7 linked regions of the Macaca mulatta genome follow. The protein of the gene in region 6 interacts with the protein of the main gene of each other region in a biochemical or structural test. Links are inferred from orthologs where the notes say so. Each region holds a gene or a part of one and is shown on either strand. Other genes may lie near its edges. The genes, in order: HNRNPM, FOS, CFTR, SLX4, TOP2A, UBE2I and TRIM28.

What was found.
Region 1: of the proteins of UBE2I (region 6) and HNRNPM, one has a biochemical effect on the other in vitro, tested with the Homo sapiens proteins (2 studies listed by BioGRID). The link is inferred for Macaca mulatta from reciprocal best matches to the Homo sapiens genes UBE2I and HNRNPM.
Region 2: of the proteins of UBE2I (region 6) and FOS, one has a biochemical effect on the other in vitro, tested with the Homo sapiens proteins (3 studies listed by BioGRID). The link is inferred for Macaca mulatta from reciprocal best matches to the Homo sapiens genes UBE2I and FOS.
Region 3: of the proteins of UBE2I (region 6) and CFTR, one has a biochemical effect on the other in vitro, tested with the Homo sapiens proteins (2 studies listed by BioGRID). The link is inferred for Macaca mulatta from reciprocal best matches to the Homo sapiens genes UBE2I and CFTR.
Region 4: the proteins of UBE2I (region 6) and SLX4 form a complex in vitro, tested with the Homo sapiens proteins (2 studies listed by BioGRID). The link is inferred for Macaca mulatta from reciprocal best matches to the Homo sapiens genes UBE2I and SLX4.
Region 5: the proteins of UBE2I (region 6) and TOP2A form a complex in vitro, tested with the Homo sapiens proteins (2 studies listed by BioGRID, with this or other methods). The link is inferred for Macaca mulatta from reciprocal best matches to the Homo sapiens genes UBE2I and TOP2A.
Region 7: the proteins of UBE2I (region 6) and TRIM28 form a complex in vitro, tested with the Homo sapiens proteins (6 studies listed by BioGRID, with this or other methods). The link is inferred for Macaca mulatta from reciprocal best matches to the Homo sapiens genes UBE2I and TRIM28.

The regions. Positions count from the first base shown.
Region 1 is NC_133424.1:9,317,659-9,321,158, forward strand, and holds part of HNRNPM (heterogeneous nuclear ribonucleoprotein M), read left to right. Parts: intron 1-278; coding exon 279-470; intron 471-1,172; coding exon 1,173-1,326; intron 1,327-2,490; coding exon 2,491-2,540; intron 2,541-3,500. UniProt on the Homo sapiens protein: Pre-mRNA binding protein in vivo, binds avidly to poly(G) and poly(U) RNA homopolymers in vitro. Involved in splicing.
Region 2 is NC_133412.1:148,475,682-148,479,935, reverse strand, and holds FOS (protein c-Fos), read right to left. Parts: upstream 2,801-4,254; coding exon 2,660-2,800; intron 1,906-2,659; coding exon 1,654-1,905; intron 1,218-1,653; coding exon 1,110-1,217; intron 993-1,109; coding exon 351-992; downstream 1-350. UniProt on the Homo sapiens protein: Nuclear phosphoprotein which forms a tight but non-covalently linked complex with the JUN/AP-1 transcription factor. In the heterodimer, FOS and JUN/AP-1 basic regions each seems to interact with symmetrical DNA half sites.
Region 3 is NC_133408.1:157,202,157-157,205,085, reverse strand, and holds part of CFTR (cystic fibrosis transmembrane conductance regulator), read right to left. Parts: intron 1,568-2,929; coding exon 1,395-1,567; intron 783-1,394; coding exon 677-782; intron 1-676. UniProt on the Homo sapiens protein: Epithelial ion channel that plays an important role in the regulation of epithelial ion and water transport and fluid homeostasis. Mediates the transport of chloride ions across the cell membrane.
Region 4 is NC_133425.1:4,820,416-4,823,915, forward strand, and holds part of SLX4 (structure-specific endonuclease subunit SLX4), read right to left. Parts: intron 742-3,500; coding exon 545-741; intron 444-544; coding exon 127-443; intron 1-126. UniProt on the Homo sapiens protein: Regulatory subunit that interacts with and increases the activity of different structure-specific endonucleases.
Region 5 is NC_133421.1:64,770,273-64,773,772, forward strand, and holds part of TOP2A (DNA topoisomerase 2-alpha), read right to left. Parts: intron 3,358-3,500; coding exon 3,205-3,357; intron 2,958-3,204; coding exon 2,834-2,957; intron 2,725-2,833; coding exon 2,681-2,724; intron 1,943-2,680; coding exon 1,808-1,942; intron 487-1,807; coding exon 287-486; intron 1-286. UniProt on the Homo sapiens protein: Key decatenating enzyme that alters DNA topology by binding to two double-stranded DNA molecules, generating a double-stranded break in one of the strands, passing the intact strand through the broken strand, and religating the broken strand.
Region 6 is NC_133425.1:2,512,388-2,516,687, reverse strand, and holds the start of UBE2I (SUMO-conjugating enzyme UBC9), read right to left. Parts: upstream 2,801-4,300; 5' UTR 2,631-2,800; intron 1,266-2,630; 5' UTR 1,255-1,265; coding exon 1,189-1,254; intron 997-1,188; coding exon 913-996; intron 1-912. UniProt on the Homo sapiens protein: Accepts the ubiquitin-like proteins SUMO1, SUMO2, SUMO3, SUMO4 and SUMO1P1/SUMO5 from the UBLE1A-UBLE1B E1 complex and catalyzes their covalent attachment to other proteins with the help of an E3 ligase such as RANBP2, CBX4 and ZNF451.
Region 7 is NC_133424.1:70,681,956-70,686,169, reverse strand, and holds the start of TRIM28 (transcription intermediary factor 1-beta), read right to left. Parts: upstream 2,801-4,214; 5' UTR 2,503-2,800; coding exon 2,163-2,502; intron 1,834-2,162; coding exon 1,721-1,833; intron 1,495-1,720; coding exon 1,362-1,494; intron 1-1,361. UniProt on the Homo sapiens protein: Nuclear corepressor for KRAB domain-containing zinc finger proteins (KRAB-ZFPs).

The sequences.
Region 1 (3,500 bases), on a different chromosome or scaffold from region 6:
AATCATGTTTCCTTCCCTACCCTGCTTTTCTTTTTTACTTAGTTCAGTTGAGAGCTATGTTTTTAGTGCTATATTTCATGCCTTTTCTTCCTTTCCTGTTCCTTTAGCTGGACTCTTCTAAGCTGGTAGTTGAGTTCATTTGACTTTCTTGTTAATAGATTTGAGAGATGCTTTCCAAACAACCTTTCAGTTTCTAAGTCTTGAGAATATCATTTACTGTGCAAGCATGGTTTGCGTTGTCACTGGGTCAAACGTAACACCATTTGTGCTTGTTTTAGGATCCTGATGGTGAACATGCCAGGAGAGCAATGCAAAAGGTGATGGCTACGACTGGTGGGATGGGTATGGGACCAGGTGGCCCAGGAATGATTACTATCCCACCCAGTATCCTAAATAATCCCAACATCCCAAATGAGATTATCCATGCATTACAGGCTGGAAGACTTGGAAGCACAGTATTTGTAGCAAATGTAAGTAAACAGAACCATCATCTAAAGTAGAAAATAACTTTATGAAATGACCTTGTCAGTATGTTATAAAAGTAATTCTGACATTTGAGAAGAAAAATATAAAGAAGGGTTGTGTTCTTGATTTCTTTAAAAATCAGCCGTATAGGTAGACTTTGTCTGCATTCCTAAGTCACAAGCTTGACCATGGTCTCATTGGGGCTGTGATTCCTGAGTTTTGCAGGTGTTTCCACAAGCAGTAACCGAGTCTGCATTCTCCGTTGGTTTATTTGTGCAGTTTTGGTGCAGAGTAAGAGTGTACGAGCAGAAGTGCACTGACACCTTCCTCTTATTGTGTCTGGGGTGAATGATACCTCCACCATTGCAAGGGGAGATATTTTTAGCAGAAAGTAGCTTGGGTGGGGTGGGGTATGGTAAAGCTTATCAGGGAAACAATTTTTTAAAAATGTTCAGAAAATGAGTATTAATTTGAAGTATGAGGTGACTTAAGTTTCTGAGAAAAGAAACCATATATTTAAGTACAGTTTATTTACAGTGAAGGCCAGGCTTTATAATCCTATTTTAAAATTTCCATTGCAGTTGATTAGTTTTTGTGACATTATTTCCTAATACTTTTTCCAACCAAAGCATGTCTCATTCACATAGTAAAAATGTGTTTCTTAAGACGTTTACATTGAGGTTTTTACCCCGTTCTTTCTCGATTAGCTGGATTATAAAGTTGGCTGGAAGAAACTGAAGGAAGTATTTAGTATGGCTGGTGTGGTGGTCCGAGCAGACATTCTTGAAGATAAAGATGGAAAAAGTCGTGGAATAGGCACTGTAACTTTTGAACAGTCCATTGAAGCTGTGCAAGCTATATGTATCCTTCTGCAGGAATTCAACTTGTGAACAATTTGACCTAAATTGCTGTGTTAGTAATGTAGGTTTGTGTGAGGAAGAGGTGACTGTGTATTAATGTTTTTTATGTGACTAGGGAGAATGCATTACTGTGGAATTAAAAGGTTCTCTGGGCCGGACCGGGCATGGTGGCTCAAACCTGTAATCCCAGCACTTTGGGAGACCGAGGCGGGCAGATCACTTGAGGTCAGGAGTTCGAGACCAGCCTGGCCAACATGGTGAAACCCTACCTCTACTAAAAATACAAAAATTAGCTGGGTGCAGTGGTGGATGCCTGTAATCCCAGCTACTCAGGAGGCTGAGGCACAAGAATCGCTTGAACCCGGGAGGTGGAGGTTGCAGTGAGCCAAGATCGGGCCACTGCACACCACCAGCCTGGGTGATAGAGTGAGACTCAGTCTCAAAAAAAAAAAAAAAAAAAAAAAAGGTTCTTTGGGGGTGGAGTTGATTCAATACAGTGTGGATAGAGGGGATGGTTAGAACATGGGCGTATGCCCATGAGTGGTCTTTCTACTGTTTTCAGAAGAGTCTAGGTTTGAAGGAGGAAGCCCAAAGAATGCACCACTAGAGAGAAACTGGGTTGTTATTTCATGTGTAATACATCCCTATAGGATTACTCACTCTCTCCAGTGAGTAGACATCATTTTGGAAGAGGACACTTCTCCTTGACCCTAGGCTTAGCCTAGAGTTTTAATCCCATGGAGAGTACCCCACAGGAGCACATTCATGCAACTCAGACGAGACCGTCTTGGCATGTCTTACCCAGAAAGCATGGTCCTTCAGTTTAGATAGTGGTAGATGCCTGGCCCATTGGCCACATTCAGAGAACCTTGATGCCACTGCTTAAGAGGATGGTTTGGTGAAATTATAAGGTTACAAATGAAGCTTCACACCTGAGGAATAAGCAGAAGTTGTCTTGTCCTCCCGCCGTCTTTATTTATTGTTCCTTTTATGTTTATTGTTGAAAGTATAATGAAGAATTGAAATTGCTCATAAATTCATCACTTAGAGGAACTGGTAGCAGTTGGAGTATTTTTCTTTCTTTCTCTCTCTCTTTTTTTTTTTTTTGTATTTCTCTTGTGCACATTTTTAGAATTGCAAGAAATAGCCTTAATTGTAATACCAGCTATGTTCAATGGCCAACTGCTATTTGATAGACCAATGCACGTCAAGATGGTAAGTCAGTAGGATCTTTCTGTGTGATATACTCAAGGCTAGCAAAAACATGGAATTAATAAGAATGTACACATATCCACTATAAAATATTTATGGATTAGTCTAAGTTAAATAAGGTGCAGTATGTTGAGTGAATTTGTGAGAGAAATAACATTTTGCTGGTCGGGCATGGTGGTTCATGCCTGTAATCCCAGCACTTTGGGAGGCTGAGGCGGGCGGATCATGAGGTCAGGAGTTTGAGACCAGCCTGACTAACATGGTGGAACTCCGTCTCTACTGAAAATACAAAAATTAGCTGGGCGTGGTGGCACGCACCTGTAGTCCCAGCTACTTGGGAGGCTGAGGCAGGAGAATCAACTTGAATCTGGGAGGAGGAGGTTGCAGTGAGCCAAGATCGTGCCACTGCACTCCAGCCTGGGCAACAGAGTGAGATTCAGTCTCAAAAAAAAAAAAAACAAAACATTTTGCTCATGGCAACTCTTGACTGCATTAGATATTTTTCCTTTTGCACAGTTGACTGTTCATGGCACATACAGGTAGTCACCTGGGTATCCTGGTTGAGCAAGTGATCTGTTTCAAAGAATAGTTACATATGTGGGGTTCCAGTTTTTCAGAGTATTACAGTATAATGTTTGGTTAGCATCAAATCTTTTGTGAACATAATTAAGTCATTGATTCAGACAGCTCTTAAAGGTCTGTTGGAGCATTTCAGTCTTAATAAACATTTGCTCTGCCGTGGCTGTGCCAAAGATAATAATTACTACAGGCATGACTGGAACATGCTGGGGGCAATCTAGTCGGGGCTCAAATTCAGGAAAAAGATAAAAGAAACTATAAAGCAATTTTTTCATTACTGTAAATAGAATAGTTAAGTTTTTTGAATAGATGATAGATTCATATGACTCAAAAGTCAAAAAATATGAAAAGATAGCGTGAAGATAGTGTGAGTCCTACTTGGAC
Region 2 (4,254 bases), on a different chromosome or scaffold from region 6:
AATGAACCCAATAGATTAGTTAATGCTATGAGAAGACTAAGGAGAAAGAGAAAAGAGACACAGACCCAGGCCTGGCTCAACATGCTACTAACTACCAGCTCTCTGAAGTGTCACTGGGAACAATACACACTCCATGCGTTTTGCTACATCTCCGGAAGAGGTAAGGACTTGAGTCCACACATGGATGCTTTCAAGTCCTTGAGGCCCACAGCCTGGTGTGTTTCACGCACAGATAAGGTCCTCCCTAGGTCTACAGGAACCCTCTAGGGAAGACGTGTTTCTCCTCTCTGTAATGCACCAGCTCGGGCAGTGGCACTTGTGGGTGCCGGCTGCCTCCCTTCCCTGCCCGCTCACAGGGCCAGCAGCGTGGGTGAGCTGAGCGAGTCAGAGGAGGGCTCATTGCTGCTGCTGCCCTTGCGGTGGGCAGCTGCGCAGCTGGGGAAGGAGTCAGCCTCGGGGTAGGTGAAGACGAAGGAAGACGTGTAAGCAGTGCAGCTGGGAGTACAGGTGACCACCGGAGTGCACAGGGGCTCCAGCTCTGTGGCCATGGGCCCCATCCCCAGGGAGCCACTGTGCAGGGGCTCCCAGTCTGCTGCATAGAAGGACCCAGATAGGTCCATGTCTGGTACAGAGCGGGCTGTCTCAGAGCCGCTGGGCCTGGATGATGCTGGGAACAGGAAGTCATCAAAGGGCTCAGCCTTCAGCTCCATGCTGCTGATGCTCTTGACAGGCTCCACTGAGGGCTTGGGCTCTGGGTCATTGAGGAGAGGCAGGGTGAAGGCCTCCTCAGACTCTGGGGTGGCAGCCTCTGGCAGGCCCCCAGTCAGATCAAGGGAAGCCACAGACATCTCTTCTGGAAAGCCCAGGTCATCAGGGATCTTGCAGGCAGGTCGGTGAGCTGCCAGGATGAATTCTAGTTTTTCCTTCTCCTTCAGCAGGTTGGCAATCTCGGTCTGCAAAGCAGACTTCTCATCTTCTAGTTGGTCTGTCTCCTGTATACAGAGGGAGAAAGGAAAGCATAAGAAACAGTCTTACTCAAGGGCCCTTATGCTCAATCTCCAACTTTCCCCTTAAGTTTTAAAAAGGAGCAACCCGCAAAGTCTACCTACCGCTTGGAGTGTATCAGTCAGCTCCCTCCTCCGGTTGCGGCATTTGGCTGCAGCCATCTTATTCCTTTCCCTTCGGATTCTCCTTTTCTCTTCTTCTTCTGGAGATAACTAGGATAATCACAAAAAAAAAAAAGACCGACATTCAGTAAAAGTGTCTGCCATCACCTCCATTCACCCACCCCAGTAGAACTGGCTCCTGCAGCTTCCCTACTTCCTGGCATCCCACTGTGAAACCATTTCTAACCTGCAGTTGCAGACTAGGTGTGACTTGCATTTAAAATAAGATCCTCAGCAAGAGAACAAAGAAGAGCCCAGTCTAAAAGCATGCGGTAGGAAACTTAGGGAAGAAACTATGAGAGTACTTCTTAGGGTGAGACTCAGAGTCTGAGTTGGGATGGAATGGGCTTGGAGCCAGGGTTCCCAGTTAGGGATGTGCAGCCAGCCCCGTCAGGGGCTTAATCCTCTCTGCTGTGCTCCTCCACCTCCAGGGCCGCTTCCCACCCAGCCCCCACCTTCCCAGGAAGGGTAGGCTAGAGTTCCTCACCTGTTCCACCTTACCCCTCCTGCCAGTGCTCTGCGCTCGGCTTCCTGTCATGGTCTTCACAATGCCAGCCCTGGAGTAAGCCCCAGCGGAGGGAGTGGGGACTCCGAAGGGGTGAGGGGCTCTGGTCTGCGATGGGGCCACAGAGGAGACGAGGGCCGGCTGCACAAGCCACTGCAGGTCCGGACTGGTAGAGATGGCAGTGACCGTGGGAATGAAGTTGGCACTGGAGACGGCCAGGTCCGTGCAGAAGTCCTAGAACAAAACAGAAGGGGAAAGCCGACGTGAGCGAGCAGATTCCGGACACAGGTGGGGCGAGTTGCCGGTGCCGCATGCAGTAGCGAAGAGAAACGATCCTGCCACGGACGTTTCATCTTAAATGTCCCTCATCCTGGATGAAAGGTCTCCCCCTTTTCCTCCCAGGCATTCCGCAGCGCAGTGTCTGTCTCTTCCATCCTGCCGCTGCGTTCCCGTTATCCCTTCAGCATCACTCGCTTGAAAGGGGGTTTGTTATAAATATCCCTGACGTCTGCGCTGACGCAGGCGCCGCTCCGGAGTCTCCAGAATGAACTCGCTTTTTATCAATGAAACTGCCTTACACACCCGCCCGCTGCACCCTCCTCCCTCACCCCTCCTCCCTGCTCCAGGCTGCCGGGGGAGGGGGGATTGCCGCTTTCTGCCACCTCCCCAGAGAAGCCAGGCTCTAGTTAGCGGGTCTGTGCTTGGGAGACGTCTGCCCCAGCTAATGTCAGAGATCCGTCCTGGAATGCAAACCAGACGTTGCTCAGAACGAACCTGCCTCCGGAAGGGGGAACAAATTCTTACTATGGCAAGCTTGCGTGCGCTCAGAGCCAAGTCCCGAGCCCCCGAGCCGGCACCGCTCCGGCCACTGCAGCCTCCCTCCAGGCACAAGGGAGCCCCCTACTCATCTCCTGGAGCGTCCCGCCCGGTGTCTCCTCCTCAGCGACCCCAAGCCCCCGGCCCCGCGGCGGTGGGAAGCCAGCCTTACCTGCGCGTTGACAGGCGAGCCCATGCTGGAGAAGGAATCGGCGGGTGAGTGGTAGTAGGAGAGGCTATCCCCGGCCGGGGACGCGCTGCTGCAGCGCGAGGATGACGCCTCGTAGTCTGCGTTGAAGCCCGAGAACATCATCGTGGCTGTTAGGCAAAGCCGGGCGTGGGGCCGAGGGGCGGAGACAGGTGGGCGCTGTGGAGCAGAGCTAGGTAAGAGCGCGGTCACTGCTCGTTCGCTGCGCCGCGGCCGCCGGCTCAGTCTCGGCTTCTCGGCTGCTTGCTGCAGATGCGGTTGGAGTACGAGGCGCCGCAGCCACTGCTTTTATAACAAGCGTTTTATGAATGAGTGTAAACGTCACGGGCTCAACCACGGTGGCGCCAGAGGGGTGGCGCGCGGGCCTGAGCGCCTCTGCCGCCGCGTGGCTGCCTCCCCAGCGCTCGCAGCTCCCTGCCTGTGCCTTGGCGCGTGTCCTAATCTCGTGAGCATTTCGCAGTTCCTGTCTCAGGGGTCTCGTGGGACCCTCAAGATGAGGGGCTTCGGGGATGGCTCCCCCCAGGGCTACAGGGAAAGGCCGTGGAAACCTGCTGACGCAGATGTCCTAATATGGACATCCTGTGTAAGGGGGAGGGATTGACGGGAACTGCTCGCGGGCTGCAGCCAACAACGAGGGTGCAGCGCGGGGGGAGGCGGGGGCCGCGGCCGGGGGAGGGGAGGCGGGAACGGCGCAGAATGCTAGAGAACATTCGCACCTGGTTCAATGCGGACCCTTGTTCCCGAGGTCGGGGGGGATGGGGCAGAGAGCGCCTCTTTACCCTTGTACGGAAACTGAAGACAGTTCTGAGGCTCAAGAATAGGAGAAACGGCCTCGGGTACACGGCCCCGAGGACTTAAGCCTCGGCTCCCGAAGGAATGCGTCCCTACCCCCATCCCCAATTCTAGCCCTAATTCAGTGCAAAACGAGGAAGCAGACCCTCACCCCTCTCCTCCCGGGCTCGAGCAATGCTAGCACTGTTCCTGCGTTTGGAAGCAGAAAGTGGATCCAAAATAACAGAATACGATAACCTACTTTACGATACTGGGTACTTTATTTATTTACTTATTTTTTCTTTAAGGAAGACAGCGCATTTATTTATTTATTTTTCTCGGCCATGTGTGGGAATATTAAGGAAACTGTCAAATCCCTGAGACACCAGCAGATAAACACTGTGCGACACCTACGTGCGAAGACATTTGAAGGGGGTGTCTGCCCGGTTCTGAGCTGGGCCCCGGGGGTAGGGAGTGCGGGGTGTGGTTATGTGGGCAGGGTGGTCAGTTCGGGATGACAAGGCGGGGTGTGCTTCCTGCGGGGAACTAAAATCTGAACTGGGGGGCTGGTTCGGTCCCGCCAGGAAGCTGTGCTTACGGGAGCCCGCAGCGGGTGATTTTCCAGCGCGGACTTGGAGAGGGGAGGACAGGGGCTGGAAGGACAGTGTCCAGCAGCGCCCAGGCGGAATACCTCCACCGCTGGGACCCCAGGCGCGGCTCCACGTCCTGGAACACCGGGCTTTGGGGAGGCAAGGTGCTCCAGAGTGTGCCACGCCCCCCAGCCTCCT
Region 3 (2,929 bases), on a different chromosome or scaffold from region 6:
AACATCACTTGAAAGAATCTGTGACAGTTTTATTTTGTTTTAATAAAGACAGATGGGGCCTCACTATGTTGCCTGGACTGATCTTGAATTCCTGGCCTCAAGTAATCCTCCTACCTCAGCCTCCCAAAGTGTTGTGATTACAGACGTAAGCCACTGTGCCTGGCCCTGTGACAGTTTTTTAAGAACAGTGAGAAGGTGGTTGAGAAAGGTACTACCTGAACCCAAATCATGGCTAGAAAAATGAAATGTGCCTCTCAACTTTGTCATTAATACCATAAATTAGACTGCAAGACAACTAGGCCTGTCCCAGACCACATCCATGGGAGATTTAGTTATTGAAAGAATCATAAGGACCTTTTTAAAAATCTTAAACAGTGGAGTATTTTGTATGGCTTGGTCCCCAAATAAAGGGCTCAAAAATTATATATATCCTATTTATAAATATAACTTAGTAATATGCTGCCATTTTAGATTTACTGTATTTCAACCTCACCACATGGCTCAGATCAAAGTGAAAAACTTGTGCGGCTATTTTGAGTAAAGCTGGATGGCTGTATGACACATATTTTTGAAAAGAACTTGTACATTGTTACAGTTTGCAGGAACTATCACACCTGAGATTGTTATCAAGCATTACAAGGGAAACAAGATCTTAAGTAAAGTTATAAAGACTCACCAAAAATTGTTGGCATTCCAGCATTGCTTCTATCCTGTGTTCACAGAGGATTACTGTGCAGTCAGCAAATGCTTGTTTTAGAGTTCTTCTAATTATCTGGTATGTTCTAGAAAAGAAAGAAAATACTATACATAATATCACAGAACAGTAATTATCTGTATTTACTATTACTAATAGTAATTATGTCTATTGTTCTATTAATTTATCTCTTTAAATTACTTCTTTCTTTAAGTTCTTTTCCCATAATGTTGATATAGAGTTAGCCACAATCAGCTTTTCAACCATGGGGTAGATTCTAAGTATCCACAAATAAACAGGACAAATATTTCGAAGAAACTTTTATAAATGAGTGTATTTTTCATTATGTAGATTCACCAGTACTTCTTTATTTGGGGCTATAAACATGCTTATGGTGTAAATGGGATACAAAGGCAAATCATAAGGATCAGATTACGCCCATGTATTTAAAAGTTTCATCATGTATTGACAAGGGGGAAGACTTTGTATGAAACTAAAAACTATCTTCAGAAGAAAACACAAGACTCTTAGATAAGGAAATGAGCATTTATGCTCATTTCCACTGGGCAATTATTTCATTTCCTGGGGGAGGCCCCCACTCACAGACATGATAGCCTAATAGAAATATGTGTTACCATGAAGCAGGCATAATGATTATGTTCCTATTGTGCTATTAAGTAACAGAACTTCTGAAACTCACACTGGATCCAAATGAGCACTGGGTTCATCAAGCAGCAAGATCTTCGCCTTACTGAGAACAGATCTAGCCAAACACATCAACTGCTTGTGGCCATGGCTTAGGACACAGCCCCCATCCACAAGGACAAAGTCAAGCTTCCCAGGAAACTGTTCTATCACAGATCTGAGCCCAACCTGCAGTTAGAGAAGGTAGTTCAGATACCACAGAGTTAAAAACACTCAAGCGGTCGACATTCTAAAAATAAACACGGGAGTTCTGAAAGCTTATGTTTTTCATACCAATCCCTCTGGCCCCACTACCTGCCACCATTTGAATTTGATTGAGCAAAAGTCTATTTATTACCTTGACAAGTCTAAAGAATCAGTCTATAACTTGTTTTATCTTTGTACTTCATTCATTAGGAAACTTTCAATGAGTGCCTATTATGTGCCACGTATCCCAAAAGGTAGTAAGGAAACAATACGTGGTACATGGTTCTTGTGAGGCTCAGGGTTTATAAAGGTGTACCTAAATTATTCCAACACAACTGAATGCATGCTGGAAAAGATAATATGTATACATCGCAGGTATGCCCTCTAGTATGACATCCTATGTAGACAGAAGATAGAATGCAGCATAAAGGATGGAGGTATGATATCATCCTTGGTGCTACGTCCCATCTTCTACTCTGTCATGATTGAGGACAAAAGATAGCATAAAATAATCAACTGTGGGGTTTTTTAAATTACATATGGAAGATTGCTATTCATCTTTTGAAATCATAAAAACTAACTGTAACAAATAGATAAAAATATGAAGTAAAAAATACTGGCATTAAAATAGTGGCATAACACTAGGACATATAAAGCCTCTTAGATATTGGGGGAGAAAATGAGGGCTGTATTAGGGTCAATGACTTTTTTTTAAGCTAGACAGTAAAAGTAAAGTTTGAAAATGCAAATGAGATATAGAAACCCATTCTATCAAAATATGACAGTTATTGAAGTATTGGATTTATCGATTATTCGAATAAATGTGCATTAAATGTTTATTTTTGGCAAGTACTCCTGAGTGTATGAAGGCCAAAGAGATATACAGATGATTGTCTCCTGCCCTTGAGAAGTCTAGAATTTAGTATCAGGAGGTAAGATGGGCTCCCACCTGACTGTAATGGAGAATGAGACAATGGCCTCAGAAAGAATCTTTTGATTTCAGAGTTAAAATCAGAAATGGTCCAAAACACTGTGTTTGTTCATAAAAAATTAACTGTGTGTCCATCATCTTACCAGGAGATTTTAAGCCTCTTTGATATGGGGTAGAATATGAAAGTTGTGTTAGGACTAATGACTTGTTTTTTTAAGCTGGATAGGAAACAAACAAAACACATTTGAAAGTATATTGCACATGATACTCCTTTCCTTGGTTGGTTTTTCATTAAAGTAATCTCACCTTGTGGAAATTAATTAAAGTTTGAGAAGAGTTTCTGGTATGGTAGGAAATGTAAGCACATTTATTCGACAAGGGGGGCTACTCTGATGTATCCCCGAAGACTCGAA
Region 4 (3,500 bases), about 2.3 Mb from region 6:
TCCTCCCGCCTCTGCCTTTTCTTCCTGGACTTTCCATCACCTGGCTGTGGATACCCAGTGTTGCAGTTCTGGGACCGCCGGCCTCCCGCAAAAGCCTATCCCATGTGCCTGAGGGGAGGGACTCACCTGGGCAGGCCGCTGGGGCACGAGGGGAGGGACCAGCCTGGCCGTGTAGAAGGCCTCCGTGGCCCAGGCCCCAGTCAGGGCACTGCCCTCCCACAGAAAGCTCTGCTTGCATTCAGGTGGAGGAGGACACTGGCCCGCTCTTTCCCACCCTTCCTTTAAAATCCTGCTGGCAGGAAGTGGTGGCGTGCTAGACAATTCCACTTCCTCAGACAGGAGCAGGGCCACACGGTCCTCTATCTGTCGGCCTGTGGTTTCAGAGTCCTGGACTAACAACAATGGGGGAGACACTGGGGGTTTCTTCTTGCGACTTTTCTTCTCTAGAGAGAAACAAAAGCGACACCATCAACGGTGGAGTCAGCCCACTCCCCCGCGACCCGCCGGTGGTCTCTCCCAGGGCCACTGTTCTGGCCACACAAACCTGCTTCTGGTTTTATCCTCTCAGAAAAGGCACTTTCCAGCCTGAGCGCTGGCACAGCCGCACACGGCTCCATCTCCGACCGGGACAGAGCCATGGCCACCAGCAGGTCCTCGGACGGTGCCTCGTCCACCTTCCGCCTCTTCCGTGGCTCCTTCTTGCTGGCGGGTCCTCTCCGTTTCAGACCTCCACCGTGATCACTGAAGCGAGAAGACAGCCAAAAAGAAAAGTTACTGGGGCTAGAGGAGTGCACGCTTCTCAGGTTGGTCACACTGGCCTGGAGAGGGCTGGGCCTGAGAGAAAAGTGACGGATGTGGACCTGCCAGGCAGACGCATCCCCCACTTCTATTGCCTTGTGTGAACTCATTCAATCACAGGCCAAAAGTTCAACATGGCCCAGGCATGGGAGGGTCTGGGTTCCTTCACGTGCTGCTGTCCAGCAGGCTCATGGCAGATGTCCAGAGCCATCTGTGGTACCTGCACATCCTCATGTGGCCAAGCCCGTCCAATGGAGTCAACAGTCGACGGCTCTAAGCAGGCTCCCTGGACTCCCACCACCTTCACCCATCAATACTTCCGATGCTCCTTACATGGTCCTGGCCACACCGGCAGAAAAGGATCCCTTCCCTCCTGCAGGGGCTTCAGGGCAGTGCCTCTGCCCATGGCCAGAAGGAAGGGCTTCCCAGCTTAGGCTGCCAATGGTCGACATGACACCAGCCGCCACGGGACTCTGCACTTTCAGTGGGCAGCAGCGCATTTGGCTGGGAGGAAATGAACAGGAGTTTTCAGCTGGAGAGAACCTAGGCTGCCTGGGTGACTCCCAACAAGCTGGGCAGGAGGAGGGCAGAGGCGACAAAGGAACTTAGCACAAACCGGGCCCACCTTCCCTGCACTGCAGTCATGCCTCTGGCTTTTGCAAAAGCCCGTGCTCTCCACGGGGCCAGGGATGGCTCAAATTCACCTTCCTAGGAACCTGGATAATCACAGCCTCCCAGTGGGAAAGGAGCCGCCTGGGCAGCCCAGGACCCTGCCTCTGTGAGGGGAATGCAGACTCTGTCCCCTCCTCACTCCCCAGCAGGCCAGGTTTGGACTGTGGGGAAAGAGTATGAGGTACTCTGGCCGTGGCATGCGTTCTGAGGACCACAGGCTTGGCCTTGGGGGAGGGAGGGGTTCAAAGACCCCATAAGGGCATCCAGCTCCTGTAGTTTTCTACTCTAACAACCTTCTAAATGGATCCACATACATCTAGTTTCAGTACTTTGAAATATTCTAAAAAGCAGACATACTTTATCTGAGCAGGTGCTTTTGGTGTGGTCCTGACAAGAAAGAAGACCTCTATTCTAAGGCCTCAAGGCTTGCACCCCTACCATGCTGGTGTGGAGGTGCTAAATACAGATGGGCTCCCCCGCCAAGAGAATCCCTTCTGCCCTCTGCCATCTCACCCCCAACTCAGCTCGGCTGCCCATGACCTGTGTGCAAAGCAGTGGGCGGGACAGAGTCATCGCCTTTGGCGTTCCCTTTGCTCTTGACAGCGGTCTCAAAGATGGAGGAGTCAAAGGTCCAAGCTGCCTTTGTTCACTATGAACCTGGTGTCAGCTCTAGCGTCCTCAGCAGCAGGACAGGGTAGAGCAGGGCCAGCCCTCTGGCACTTGTGTGGCTGTGGTTTGCATGCTGAGGACTTGTGTCCTGGCTGTGAGCAGGGCCTCTAAAAATCTTCTGTTTCACCAACTTTGTTGTTGTTTTTGTTTTACGAAGACAGGTTCTTGCCCTGTCGCCCAGGCTGGAGTGCAGTGGTGCAATCACAGCTCATTGCAACCTTGACCTCCCAGACTCAAGCGATCCTTCCGCCTCAGCCTCCCAAGTAGCTGGGACTACAGGTGTGCAGCACCAGCCAGCTAATTTTTTAATTTTTTGTAGTGATGGGTCTTGCTATGTTGCCCAGGCTGGTCTTGAACTCCTGGGCTCAAGTGATCCTTCTGCCCTGGCCTCCAAAGTATTCAGATTACAGGTGTAAGCTACCGTGCCTGGCCAATCACCAACTCTTTGAACTGTGCTGAATAATCTTATGTTAACAGTGTGAACACTGGACTGCGCTGAGGTGGAAACCATGCCATACAGCAATGAAATGGATGGAGTAAAGTGACTACCAAATTCTTAGATGTGGTAGAGCAGCAGTCCCCAACCTTTCTGGTACCAGGAACTGGTTTCATGGAAGACAGTTTTTCCATGGGACACGAATCGGGGAAATGGTTTCAGCATCAAAGTGTTTCACCTCAGATCATCAGGCTTTAGAGTCTCATAAGGAGAGCTCAACCAAGATTCCATGCATGCGCGGCTCACAATAGGGTTTGTGTTCCTACAAGTCTAACGCCAGCACTGATCTGACGGGAGGCGAAGCTCAGGCGGTAAAACTTGCCTGCCCGCTGTTCACCTCTTGCTGTGTGGCCAGGTTCCTAACAGGCCACAGATCGGTACTGGTCTGAGGCCAGGGGGTTGGGGACCCCTGCACTAGAGGGTACCGACTGCGGGATCATGGGATTGGAAACTCAGGAAGGACCTTGAGGAAAATAGTGCGATGATCGTTTCTGCACCCACATAAAGGGGCAGGTCCAGAGCCTTCCAGAATGCAGACTCTGTCCCCTCCTCACTCCCTTCTAGACTGTGCCTGATTTCCACCCTAAGTGTTTCATTTCCAGAATGAAAGAGGGCTCTTTTTTCCTCCACCATAAAAAGCTTCTTTTTTTTGTAGACGGAGTCTCACTCTTGTCCAGGCTGAAGTGCAGTGGTGTGATCTTGGCTCACTGCAACCTCTACCTTCTGGGTTCAAGTAAGTCTCCTGCCTCAGCCTCCCAAGTAGCTGGGATTACAGGCATGCGCCACCACGCCCAGCTAATTTTTGTATTTTTAGTAGAGACAGGATTTTACCATGTTGGACAGGCTGGTCTCGAACTCCTGACCT
Region 5 (3,500 bases), on a different chromosome or scaffold from region 6:
TACGCCATTCTCCTGCCTCAGCCTCCGGAGTAGCTGGGACCACAGGCGCCCGCCACCTCGCCCGGCTAGTTTTTTGTATTTTTTAGTAGAGACGGGGTTTCACCGTGTTAGCCAGGATGGTCTCGATCTCCTGACCTTGTGATCCGCCCGTCTCGGCCTCCCAAAGTGCTGGGATTACAGGCTTGAGCCACCGCGCCCGGCGACATGCCAAATTATTAAGAGCAATGGCTTAGTTACGTGTTTCAGAACACCTACAGCAAAAGGACTGACTAGAATCAACACTCACCTTGCTTGTGACTGCTTTTGAAACAATTTTCTCAAAATTAGAGTCAGAATCATCAGAAGTGGATGGCTTCCTTTTGCGGCGAATCTTGGTTTTGGCAGGATCAGGCTTTTGAGAGATACCAGAATTCAAAGCTGGTTCCTTTTTAGTTCCTTTAGGGGCAGCCCTTTTTTTGGCACCGGTAGTGGAGGTGGAAGACTGACCTGCAATTCAATACAGGCATTTGTTACAGCCGCTCTTTTTTTGAGATGGGGTCTCACTCTATCGCCCAGGCTGGAGTGCAATGGCATTATCTTGGCTCACTGCAACCTCTGCCTCCTGGGTTCAAGCGATTCTCCTGCCTCAGCCTCCTGAGTAGCTGGGATTACAGGCACGTGCCACCACACCTGGCTAATTTTTTGTATTTTTAGTAGAGATGGTGTTCTACCATGTTGGTCAAGCTGGTCTCAAACTCCTGACCTCAGGTGATCCACTTGCCTTGGGCTCCCAAAGTGCTGGGATTACAGGCATGAGCCACTGCGCCCGACCTAGTCATAGCCACTCTTAGATGAATTGTTCTCATTGTGAACTTTCTTCAGCAATGTGATGACTGTGTATATTTAACATAGGAAAAGACAATCTAAGAGAGGTGAAAATAGAGAATCAAAGTATTCTTAAACATTCTATTTTTTTTTTTTTTGAGATAGCGTCTTGCTCTATCTCGCCCAGGTTGGAATGCAGTGGCACGATCTCAGCTCACTGTAGCCTCTGCCTCCTGGGTTCAAGCGATTCTCCCGTTTCAGCCTCCCGAGTAGCTGACTACAGGCATGTGCCACCACACCTGGCTAATTTTGTATTCTTAGTAGAGACGAGGTTTCACTATATTGGCCAGGCTAGTCTCGAAATCCTGACCTCAGGTGATCCACCCACCTAGGCCTCCCAAAGTGCTGGGATTACAGGCATGAACCACTGCATCCAGCCTTAAACATTCAATTTTAAGAATATGTTTTACATTAAACATTTGCAATTGCTTATAAATCCTATCCTTGTCATAGAAATGAACTAGATGAAGCCTGGTACTGAGAGAAACACGCTGATTTTAAACATTTGGACTACCTTATTTTTGGAGACAGGGTCTCACTCTCTCACTCAGGCTGGAGTGCAGTGGCTTGATCATAGCTCACTGCAGCCTTGAACTCCTGGCCTCAAGCGATCCTCTTGCTTTAGCCTCCCAAAGCGCTGGGATTACAGGTATGAGCCACTCTGCCTGGCTTTTGTTTTGTTTTGTGTTTTGACTAGTCAAGTGCAGTAGTGAGAAGGAGGGAAAAGAGTAGAACAAGGAGTTTGATCTGTAACTGAATGAACAATCAGGACCAGCCTTGACTACTAATTTTGATTATAAAGATCTAAAAGAAATTGCTTCCATTTGGAAAAGGTTTAATTTGTAATATCAACAGTAAGTTTTGGCAATAAAAAATTGAAATTGCCACGTGAAAACCAGTTAGTTAATTGCAACATTAACCCATCTCAAAGATTTAGGCTTACTTTTTGCTGCTGTCTTCTTCACTGTCACATTCTTTTTAGGAACTGTGTTTGTAATTTCAGTTTCATTTGGGAAATGTGTAGCAGGAGGGCTTGAAGACAGTGGTACACTGTCCTTAGCATCATCAGCTTCAAGGTCTATCATTTCAAATGGAAAGGAAAATAGTACATTTAAGCCAACACATGAAAATCCATTTTCTGCTTTGTGCTTGGTATGAATTCCTATTTAAACACCAAATATGTGACTTTTCTGGAATATTTAAAACATACTTTTTTTTTTATTTTTTGAGATGGAGTCTTGCTCTGTTGCCCAGGCTGGAGTGCAGTGGCTTGATCTCGGCTCACTGCAAGCTCCGCCTCCCGGGTTCACACCATTCTCCTGCCTCAGCCTCCCAAGTAGCTGGGACTACAGGTGCCCGCCACCACGCCTGGCTAATTTTTTGTATTTTTAGTAGAGGCGGGGTTTCACTGTGTTAGCCAGGCTTGTCACGAACTCCTGACCTCAGGTGATCCACCCACCTCGGCCTCCCAAAGTGCTGGGATTACAGGTGTGAGCCACCATGCCCAGCCTAAAACATACTCTTAAAACTTTGTTCTAATTTCTGAATTTTTTATCAGCAAGAACAGTTTTTATTTTTTGTATCTCTAGCACCTAGCAAAGTACCTGGCAAGCACTATGATTACTTTTAGTATACTGAATGCAGTACCTATTTACATGTGAAACTAAACCCAACGAACAGTGTCAACATAATGTTATTAAGAACTCAAATTTATTTCCAAAGGAAGTACTTGGATAATGTAGCCAGGATTAGAACCCAGTTGGATCTGAGTGTCCCAGTAAGGCAGATGTCTCACTGCTTTTACTTAGATACATACCTGACATAGCCCTTTTCTGTGGTTTCAGATCTCTGTTAGTAAGTCTAGAATTAAAAAAAAAAAAATCCTGACAACCAATTCTAAAGGTGTTAAGCAAAAAACAATATATTAGAAACAATCATGACAAAAACCCATATTAGAAAAGATACTTACTTTGGGGAAGTTTTGGTCTTAGGTGGACTAGCATCTGATGGGACAAAATCTTCATCATCAGTTTTTTCATCAAAATCTGAGAAATCTTCATCTGAATCCAAATCCACTGTGAATTTGGTTTTTGCTAGTAAAAAAACATATACAAAAAATCAGAGGGTAGTAGGAGAAACACTTAATTCATAGGTTGATATAACATTTCATGAATATTTTAGTTTTTAATCTCCTGAAAGATGCTTCAGTGTTTCAAAGCTTTAACTTACTTTAATTTACTGCTCTATTAAGACACAGTAATTTCTGGGGCAAAGTACCCTGAAGTATATTGGCCATTCCACTCTTACAGCTTATCTATAATGTTCTTTAGTTTTCCTTACTTGCTGCTCTTCGTGGCTCTGTTTCTCGTGGAGGGACATCAAAATTACTTTCGTCACTGCTCCTATCTGATTCTGAATCAGACCAGGGATTTCTCTTCTTTCCTTTTTTGATTGGCTTAAATGGCAATGTAGTTTGTTTCTTTGTCTTTGTACCTAGAGGAGAGATAGAAATCAACCACCTTTATATATTCTGAGACTCACTTTTCTCCATCTATCATCCATCTATGCTTCAAATTTATTAACCGCTGTGATAGTTCTGAGAATACAATCGTGAAAAGAAACAGATATGGTCCCTG
Region 6 (4,300 bases):
GATCCTGCCTGGATGAGGCGCCTTTGCCACCCCACAATCCGACACCACTCCCGTCTTCCTCGGGGCCGCACACCTGCGTCGCCGTGACGTGAAGAGCAAGGGACGTTCTCAGCAGAGCCTCAGACAAGCGACAAACCCAAGTGACACCATGTCTCAGGCAAAGCTGAGACCTGCTGGGACTGCTCAGCTCAGGGGGACCGAAGCTGCTTTGAGTTTCAGAGTGAAACCCAGAGGGTGGCATGGGCCGGAGGGAACAAGGCCTCGGGCAGGACCAGCACCTCAGGGCTCTCTCCTTCCTTCAGGGTTCACCAGCATGAACCTTATGTGCACACCAGCCTGGAGTCCCCGGCCAAGTGCTTCACGGGAGCCGGGCAAAGACGACAGGCACACAGGCCGCCCTGCTCCCCACAGACACACAGGGGGCCCCAAGCAGGCATCCTAGGCTGCTGTCGCCAGTCCCTGTGCCCCAGGAGGTTCTCCAGGAGGCGGCTTTACGCCAGGGTGGCTCTCCAGCAAACCCAGCTACCGTGACCTGAGCCACACCTGGAAGGACACAGCAGAATCCCGGGTTCCAGCCTGCAAAGGCTGCCCGCCCTCAGGCCTGCTCCCAACACACACCAGAGCCCCTCCCCTCTGCCACAGCTCAGCCCTGTGCCCAGCCTGCTTCCTTCTCAACCAGAAATGCCCTCGGTGGGGACACAGCTGTCACCCCAACCTTGCCAGCACCACCTTCTGAGCTCAAGTCCGCACGGGGCGGGGGCCAGGCCACAGCTGGGGATCTGACCTGTTGTCCGCAGCCCGTGACAAGGGCGGCCGTCACAGACGGCAGGGGCTGAGCAGTTTCCCCGTGGCGTTGCCACACGCATCTGTTGAGCCCCGACAGGCAGGAGGCTAGCAGCGCGCGCCTCTTACCCCTTTCTTTCCTGGAATGGCGCACTCCCAGTTCATGAGGTTCATCGTGCCATCGGGATTTTTTGTTGGGACAGCCACGAAACCCTGAGAGAAAACAACCACAAAAGCACATCAGTGCGGTGGCATCTCGTTTGACCAAAACCACCGAGAACCGGCCCGCGAGCCCCACCAGCGCGACCCAGGCACGCGGCCAGCTCCCTCCCAGTGGTGGGGGGCACGGTTTCAGCCCAGGGGGGCCGTCCGCGGCACTGCACACGGAAACGAAGCCCTCCTTACAAACGGGTGGTCTTTCCTCCATGCTTTCCTCTCCTGGGCGAGTCTGCTGAGGGCGATCCCCGACATGTTCAGAGTCCCTGGAACACAGGAGGCAGAGCACGGGGTCAGGACAGGCTAGCGGGCTCCTGCGGCCCCGCCACGTGCACACGGCCCGCAGTGGGCAGTCTTGCTCCTAACAGGCGCCAGCCCAGCCCAGCAGAGACTCTCCTCCTGGAAGCCGTCGTCCGACCCCGGGGTCTACCAGGGGAGGCCTCATGAGTGGATCCCAGATCACCGGGGGTGGGGGGACAGGTAGGACCCCTTCCCCATGGGCCCCCCGAGCCCTGGTCTGCGACACGTGCCGCGGCCTCTGCTCCACGGTGGAGACGGATGTTCAGAGGCTGGGCTGCTGTGGCTGGGCGGTAGCTGCCACCCTGTGGTGGCTGGCGTGGCAGGGTCCTCACTGAACCGTCAGGTGGGGACTAGGCAGGGCTGGGTCCCAGCCTTACTATCTGGGTCCCCGCCTTACTATCAGGCGCTCAGAACTGAGACTCAAGCCGGGCCAGGGGGACACCTAATATTGTTTTTTTTTTTTTTTTTGAGATGGAGTCTCACTCTGTCCCTCAGGCTGGAGTGCAGTGGCACTATCTCGGCTCATTGCAACCTCCGTTTCTTGAGTTCAAGCAATTCTCCTGCCTCAGCCTCCCGGGTAGCTGGGACTACAGGCCCCCGCCACCATGCCCGGCTAATTTTTGTATTTTTAATAGAGATGGGGTTTCACCGTGTTGAAGACAGAGTGGAACAAGTACCACAGGGCAGAGGCTCAGCCTCGCTGAAAGAGGAGCCCCCCACAGGGCCACCGTTCCCGGACCCTGCAGCCGCTAGCATGTCCCTGTGGCTTCAGGGGACAGACGGGTCCTGTGGGGCAGGGCAGGAGCATGGGGTACGGGACCAGGTCCCTGGTCAGAGGCAGCGGCACACACGCCAGATTCCAGCTCCACACTTCTCCACGGGACCTCAGGGGCTTGGCACCTTTGCCTTCTGGTTCCCAGCGGGAGCCTGTCGGCCCGCACTGTCCCCGGGGACACCAGGCAAACAGGGCCAGCAGCCTCGACACCAGCCTCACCTGTCACCCTACTGGTGGTCACCTTTACCATGAAAAACAGCACTCAGGGCACAAAACCTGCCAGAGAATTCAAGCCCAAGTGTGTGCTGGTTTTCAAAGTCCACGGGAACACTGAAGCTGCCTCCAAGTCTGGCATCTCAGCGCCAAGCAAGGGCCACCTCGACAAAGCTGGGGGTTGCGCCAGGCCTTCCAAACCGTGGGGGGCCGTCCCTACAAGGGCCCTGGTGACCTGGATGGCGCCCGCACCTGTGCAGGCCCACGAACCTCACACACCTCACAGCTGCAGGAAGGGGCCAGGTCAGCAGCTCCACCTGGGCCAGAGCCGCCGCAGCCTCACCTGGCACTTGTTAGGGAGGCAAGGCCCAGTCCCCAGCAGACTCATTGAGGAAGGAGCTCCGAGAGGCCCACATTCGGGTTTTGGGCGGCACGATGGCTTCCCGAGGCAGCAAAGCAGAAATCAGGGGTGGGGCTGGGATCAAGGAAGCCCAGGCGGGTCCAGTGTCGCCAGGGAACCAGGGTGCTGGAAGCCAGGCGGGGCTGCTAGAGCCGCCTGCCCTGCAGGTGGATTTGGCTCCTTTTTAACCAAACACGGATCCTCAGGGCAGCCTGAGAAAAATCAGGCAAAGGAACCCGGGTCCTCCAGTCAGTAGGTGCTGGCATCACAGCGAGAGGGTGACAGGGGCCATCCGGGCACTGGCCTCCAGCTACACGATTAAGTCCAAGACAGGTAGCCCCAGACTGGGCCCCACCGGGATGTCCCTCCCCATGCCCTCCTCACAGGGATGCGGAGGAGCCCGCAGGCCGCCTGCCCTCTGGACCACTTGCCCATCCCCATGCCCTTCTCTAAGTGGGGGTGGGGGGAAGCCAGGGGCCAGAAAGGGAGAAAGTGGGGGACACAGCTGGGCTCAGCTGTGGGCAGGCAGGGTTCGAGCCCAGAGTGGAGTGGAGCTCCCGCCAACCACGGTTTCAAGGCTCTCTCTGCACGTGTCTCCACCCTCCACTTCCACATGGAGCAGCTCAGTTGTGGCTTGAGGACTCACAGCTCTCGCTTCCCCAGCCCCAGGGTGGGCTTCATGAGTAGCCACAGCCTGTGCCTGGTGCGGTGCAAAGCAGCCTGGTGAACGGCCGTTTTGAGGAGCCACGACCTCCCAGGTGCCCGGGGTCTGAGCGGGGCCAGGAATCAAGCAGGTCTCTGAAGCCCCAGGCCAGTGCTCCAGACACTGAAGGACCAAGGCCAACACGATCCTCACAGCCAGGCAAGGCCAGGCCCCAGAGAGGCCAGCCCCAGAGAGGCCAGCCAGGCCTGGAACCCTGCCACAGGTAGCCCTCCTACTGAAGACCGGACAGAGCCACCTAGAGGCCCCCGTCCCAGCACCTAGCTATTGCTGTCTCAGATGTGAGAAGTCGTGAGGGTGCTCCTGTGAGACCTCCCGCCAAGGTCTGGCTGATGCTGCTGTATCCCCTGCCCCAAAGCACTCAGCACCACAGGGTGGTCTCACAGGAAACTGCACCACAGGGCAAGGAGCCACAGGTGCACACCCACCCTGTCCTAGGCAGAAGCCAGGCCCCTCCCCCTGCTCCCCCTCCTACTGGCCTCCTGGAGAAAGTGGCCAATGTGTTACAATGTAATCACAACACAGACGAAGCATTCAAAATCCCGCTGAAAATCGAATTTGCCCTTCCAAATTAACAGATAAGCACTAAGTGAATGGCTAGCAGTTACTAGACCCTTCAGAGCAGGGAACTTATATGAGGCAAAGACAAAAACAACCCTCATCTATCAGAGCCAAGCAAGGCCCAGACACTGCAGCAACCAGGACAGGGCCAAGCACTCCAGGAGTGGCCTGAAGGTCTGCCTTCTGTCCTGCTGGGCACCCGCGACCGGCTGAGCTTTAGCTTCTCGGATCACCACCTTGCTCTGCTGGTTGACAGCACCGACTTCCGAGCAACTTCCTGGCTGAGGGTGAGCAAAGCACTCACCTCTCACAACTCCACCGCACTCATCTC
Region 7 (4,214 bases), on a different chromosome or scaffold from region 6:
ATTTCCTGCCCATTCTGTGACACTGGGCCATTTATTGGGAAGATGTAGAGGGTGTGGCCAGCGAAGAACACAGGCCTGCAAGCCCAATTCCTTGCTCCCAGAAACCTCTGCCCCAACATAGCTGAGAAACACAACCCTTTCTTCTAGCTTCTAGAGGTGACACAAAGGTAAAGGTAAGGACAGCCTCCGGAAAAAGAGGACTACCCCCCCACACACACTGTTCCCTTTATTCTCCAAGTGGACATATTCAGAATTCTGCCTACAAACCACCCTGGACTCCTTTTCTTCTCCTTTCATGGTTAACTTCCTCCCTCTTTCGTGACAAGAAAACACCAGGGTCTCTTACAACCCAAGAGCCCAGAGAAAACCTGTAGAGGTTCTCATACTGGGAGAGATAAAATGTCAAACTAGGACCCTCAGAATGGTGGTCACACCCCCTCTAGACCAGGAGCTTGGTGCTCAGCATAATTCCACCCCAAGACCAACACATTAATAACCTTCAAAGCCTGCTTCCCCATTAGAAAACCGATTAAGCATAGTGGTCCAACATACCAACCAAATCCAAAATACGTAGCATCAGGGCTCACTGGGGAAACTGACTTCCCCAGTGCCACCATTCCTGCACCCTGACCTTTGCTTGGGACGTCTGGAATGTAGGACACCCTGCAGCCCCTGCCTATCCCTCCTGGCTCCTCAGGCCCCACAGCCGCCACTTTCCCACTATCTTCCACCAATGCTGGCCTCTGGGATGGGAAGAATCACGGTATGGCTACCAAAAGGCCACTCATGGGAGGATTTTGGCCCAAAAACTGGGCTACACTCAAAAGACTCTCAAGCTCCTTTCCAAATCAAAGCTAGCGAGTGTCTGCGAAAAGCTGGAAATGCCAAACCAAACTCCGGGTAAGTCTCTGCCAACTCAAAAGCTAAAACGTTTCCAGAAATCACCATCACTTATAACCCATGGACCCACAAAGTCTCATTTTCCCTAACAGCATCTTATACCAGATGTGTGCCAGGGAACCACAAACCCAGTAAGCCCTTCACACCATGCCTTTCCCTGTTTGCATATTCTGAGCCCTTCAACACCAGGACTGAGAACTCCCTGATAAGCTTCCTCAAACCCTCTGTACCTCCCTGCAGCACATTAAGGTCTCCACGTCTCCCCTTCCCACCCCCTCCCACCTAAGCCCTAGAGACTACACACCACAACCACAATTTTCCTGCTTTTGGAGTTCTGCTCTCCAGCCCTTCGGGCGGCACCCCCTGGACAACTCTAGGACCCATCCACCAAATGCAACCAACATTATAAAAGCAACTGAGGGCACACACGGGAAAGCAACAGCCCCCTCAGCCTCACGTACCAGTAGAGCGCACAGTGTGATCCTTGGTGTACTTCACCCGCTGGTGCGCCTCTACACAGGTCTCACACAGAGGCTCCGAGCACTCCACACAGTAGCTGGTAGCTGGGGCATTATCCTCACAGCTAGTGCAGCACTGCCAGACAAAGGCAGGGTCAGAGAAAGCAAGACAACTTGCTAGATCCACATCTACACCTCAGAAAATACAACCCAAGATTAAGATTGGTCCCTTGACCCAGCCTAGACAGCCCACCCAGAGCCTTGGGAAAGTCGAGTAACAGCCTGGGAGCTGGTGTCAAGCTCCTCCTGGGCAGATGCCCCCTCCCCAGAAACCTCCCTGTGGTTGCTGCGGTTGGACGCACCTGGTTAGCATCCTGGGCGTCGGTGGCAGCCTTGCTGCCACTATCACGCATGAAATAATTCTCCACGATGTCTTTGGAGAAGCACTGTTGCTTGCACACGGGACAGTCCACCACTTCAAGAGGCAGGGATGTGGGAGACTGTTACAAGTTCCCACCCAAGTTATGGCCCCCCGCATCCCCGTGCTGGGTGGGCCCCCGACCATTACCCCGCAGCGAGGCAGCCCCTCCCCTCCCCTCCCTGAGCCCTTTCTCCAACTTTAGTCAGATGTCTCATCTCAGCGGCCAGCTCAAACCCACGTTCCTATGCAGGACCCAGAAAGTACTCCCCGTGCACTGTCCGGGCCCCCATCCTCTTGCCCAGGTGGCATCCTCATCTCTGCACCCAGTGGGAATCAAAGGCAGAGAGTAGGGGGAGGGGTGGCCCCGATCACTTCGTACTTACCGGCGCCGTCGCCCGCAGCCCCGCCGTCCCCGGAGCTGTTGGCGGCGGCGGGCGCCGCGGGCCCTAGGCAGGCACTACAGGCCGAGTGCAAACAGGGCAGCAGGCGGGGCTCCCTCTCGGGTCGCAGGCGCTCTCTGCACACGCCGCAGTGCTCCAGCAGCTCCAGCGCCTCGGCGCCGCCCCCCGCGGGCGACGACACCGAGGCCGAGGCCGAGGCCGAGGCCGCGGTCGAAGAAGCGGTGGAGCGCTTTTCGCCGCCAGCGGAGCTCTCGCCCGGGCCCGGGCTGCCAGAGGCGGCCGAGGCCGCTGCTGCCGAGGCTGCCGCCGCCGAGGCCGCCATTCACACGCCGCCGGGGGCGCCCAGGGGGGAGGAGGGGCGCGGGGCCCGCCGCGCAGGCGCAGACGCGCTCGCCGCCAACTGCTGGGCCGCCGCCGCCGCCGCCGCGAGGCCGAGCACCGCCACGCGCCTCCTGGGCCGCTGCCCGCCGCGCGCGGGACGCTGCTGCGGCACCGCCAACTGCTGCCTGCTCGCCTCCCGAAGGCGCCGCCCGCGCTTCTTCCTCAGCCGCCGCCGAAACCCTCACCACGCGCCACAAGCACAAGCACAACCGCTCGCCCGCGCGCCCGCTCGCAGAAAGAGCCGAGGCCGGGGGGCGGGACAGAAATAACTGGCGCCGACGCCGCCGCGCACGCGCATTGGGCGCCGCACGCCCGGGGGCGGGGCCCAGGCCGGTCGGGGCGGGAGAGGCTGCCAGTACGCACGCGCCCACTCCGGGTCCTTCCACCACGGCCAACCCCACGTCGGTGGGGTCTTGTGGGGGCGGGGCGGTCCCTCTGTGACGTCACTGCCGCAATTTAATCCGCCAGTGGGGTGTGCGCACCTTTATAGAGTGTGATTCCCCTCTCAGCTCCACCTCCAGACCACACCGAAGCGGGCCGCTGTGCGCCCAAGCGCATGGGCAGTCCGTAACTCTTCCTCAACCCGCGTCTTTTCGCTCGCGTAGAGTCGTCTCCAGCCTTTGCGTCACTAAGCGTTCGGGATAGGGGGCAGGGCCAATGGAGAAGTAGGCGGGGCCAAGACGGAGTAAAGGGCTGTGCCCCGGGAGAGGGGAGGACAGGCTCCATCCCAGGAGGGAGGAAGCGCCTGTGTGAGAGCAGGGGCTGACTTTTGAATTTTAACCACGTTATAGTTAAACTTGAGAAACACAGAAAGTTGCCTAAATCAAATGTAGATCACAGACGGGCGCCGTGGCTCATACCTGTAATCCCACCATTTTCTTAGGCGAATCGGGAGGCTCCGTTTAGCCCAGGAGGCCGGGGCAGCAGTGAGCCGGGATTGTGCCACTGCACGCCAGCCTAGACAACAGATCGAAAAAAATGTGGCCGGGCGCGGCGGCTCACGCCTTTAATCCCAGCACTTTGGGAGGTCGAGGCGGGTCGATCACCTGAGGTCGGGAGTTCGAGACCAGCCTGGGCAACGTGGTGAAACCCCGTCTCTACTAAAAATACAAAAATTAGCCGGGCGTGGTGGCGGGCGCCTGTACTCCCAGCTACTCGGGAGGCTGAGGCAGGAGAATCGCTTGAACCCGGAAGGCGAAGGTTGTAGTGAGCCGAGATCATGCCATTGCACTACAGCCTGGGAGAAAAGAGCGAAACTCCATCTCAAAAGAAGAAATCTTTTTGTGTTTGTTTTGAGACGGAGTTTTGCTCTGTTGCCCAGGCTGGAGTGCAGTGGCGCGATCTCGGCTCACTGCAACCTCTGCCTCCCGGGTTCAAGCAATTATCCTGCCTCAGCCTCCTGAGTAGCTGGGATTACAGACATCCGCCTCCACACGCCCGACTATTTTTTGTATTTTTAGTAGAGACTGACTTTCACCACTTTGGCCAGGCTGGTCTCCAACTCCCCACCTCAGGTGATCAACCCGCCTCGACCTCCCAAAGAGCTGGAATTACAGGTGTAAGCCACCACGCCGGCCCCCCTACCGCCCCCCGCAAAAACACACACACAAACTATAAATCACAAGAGGCTACAGAGCAATGAGTCTATGAAAT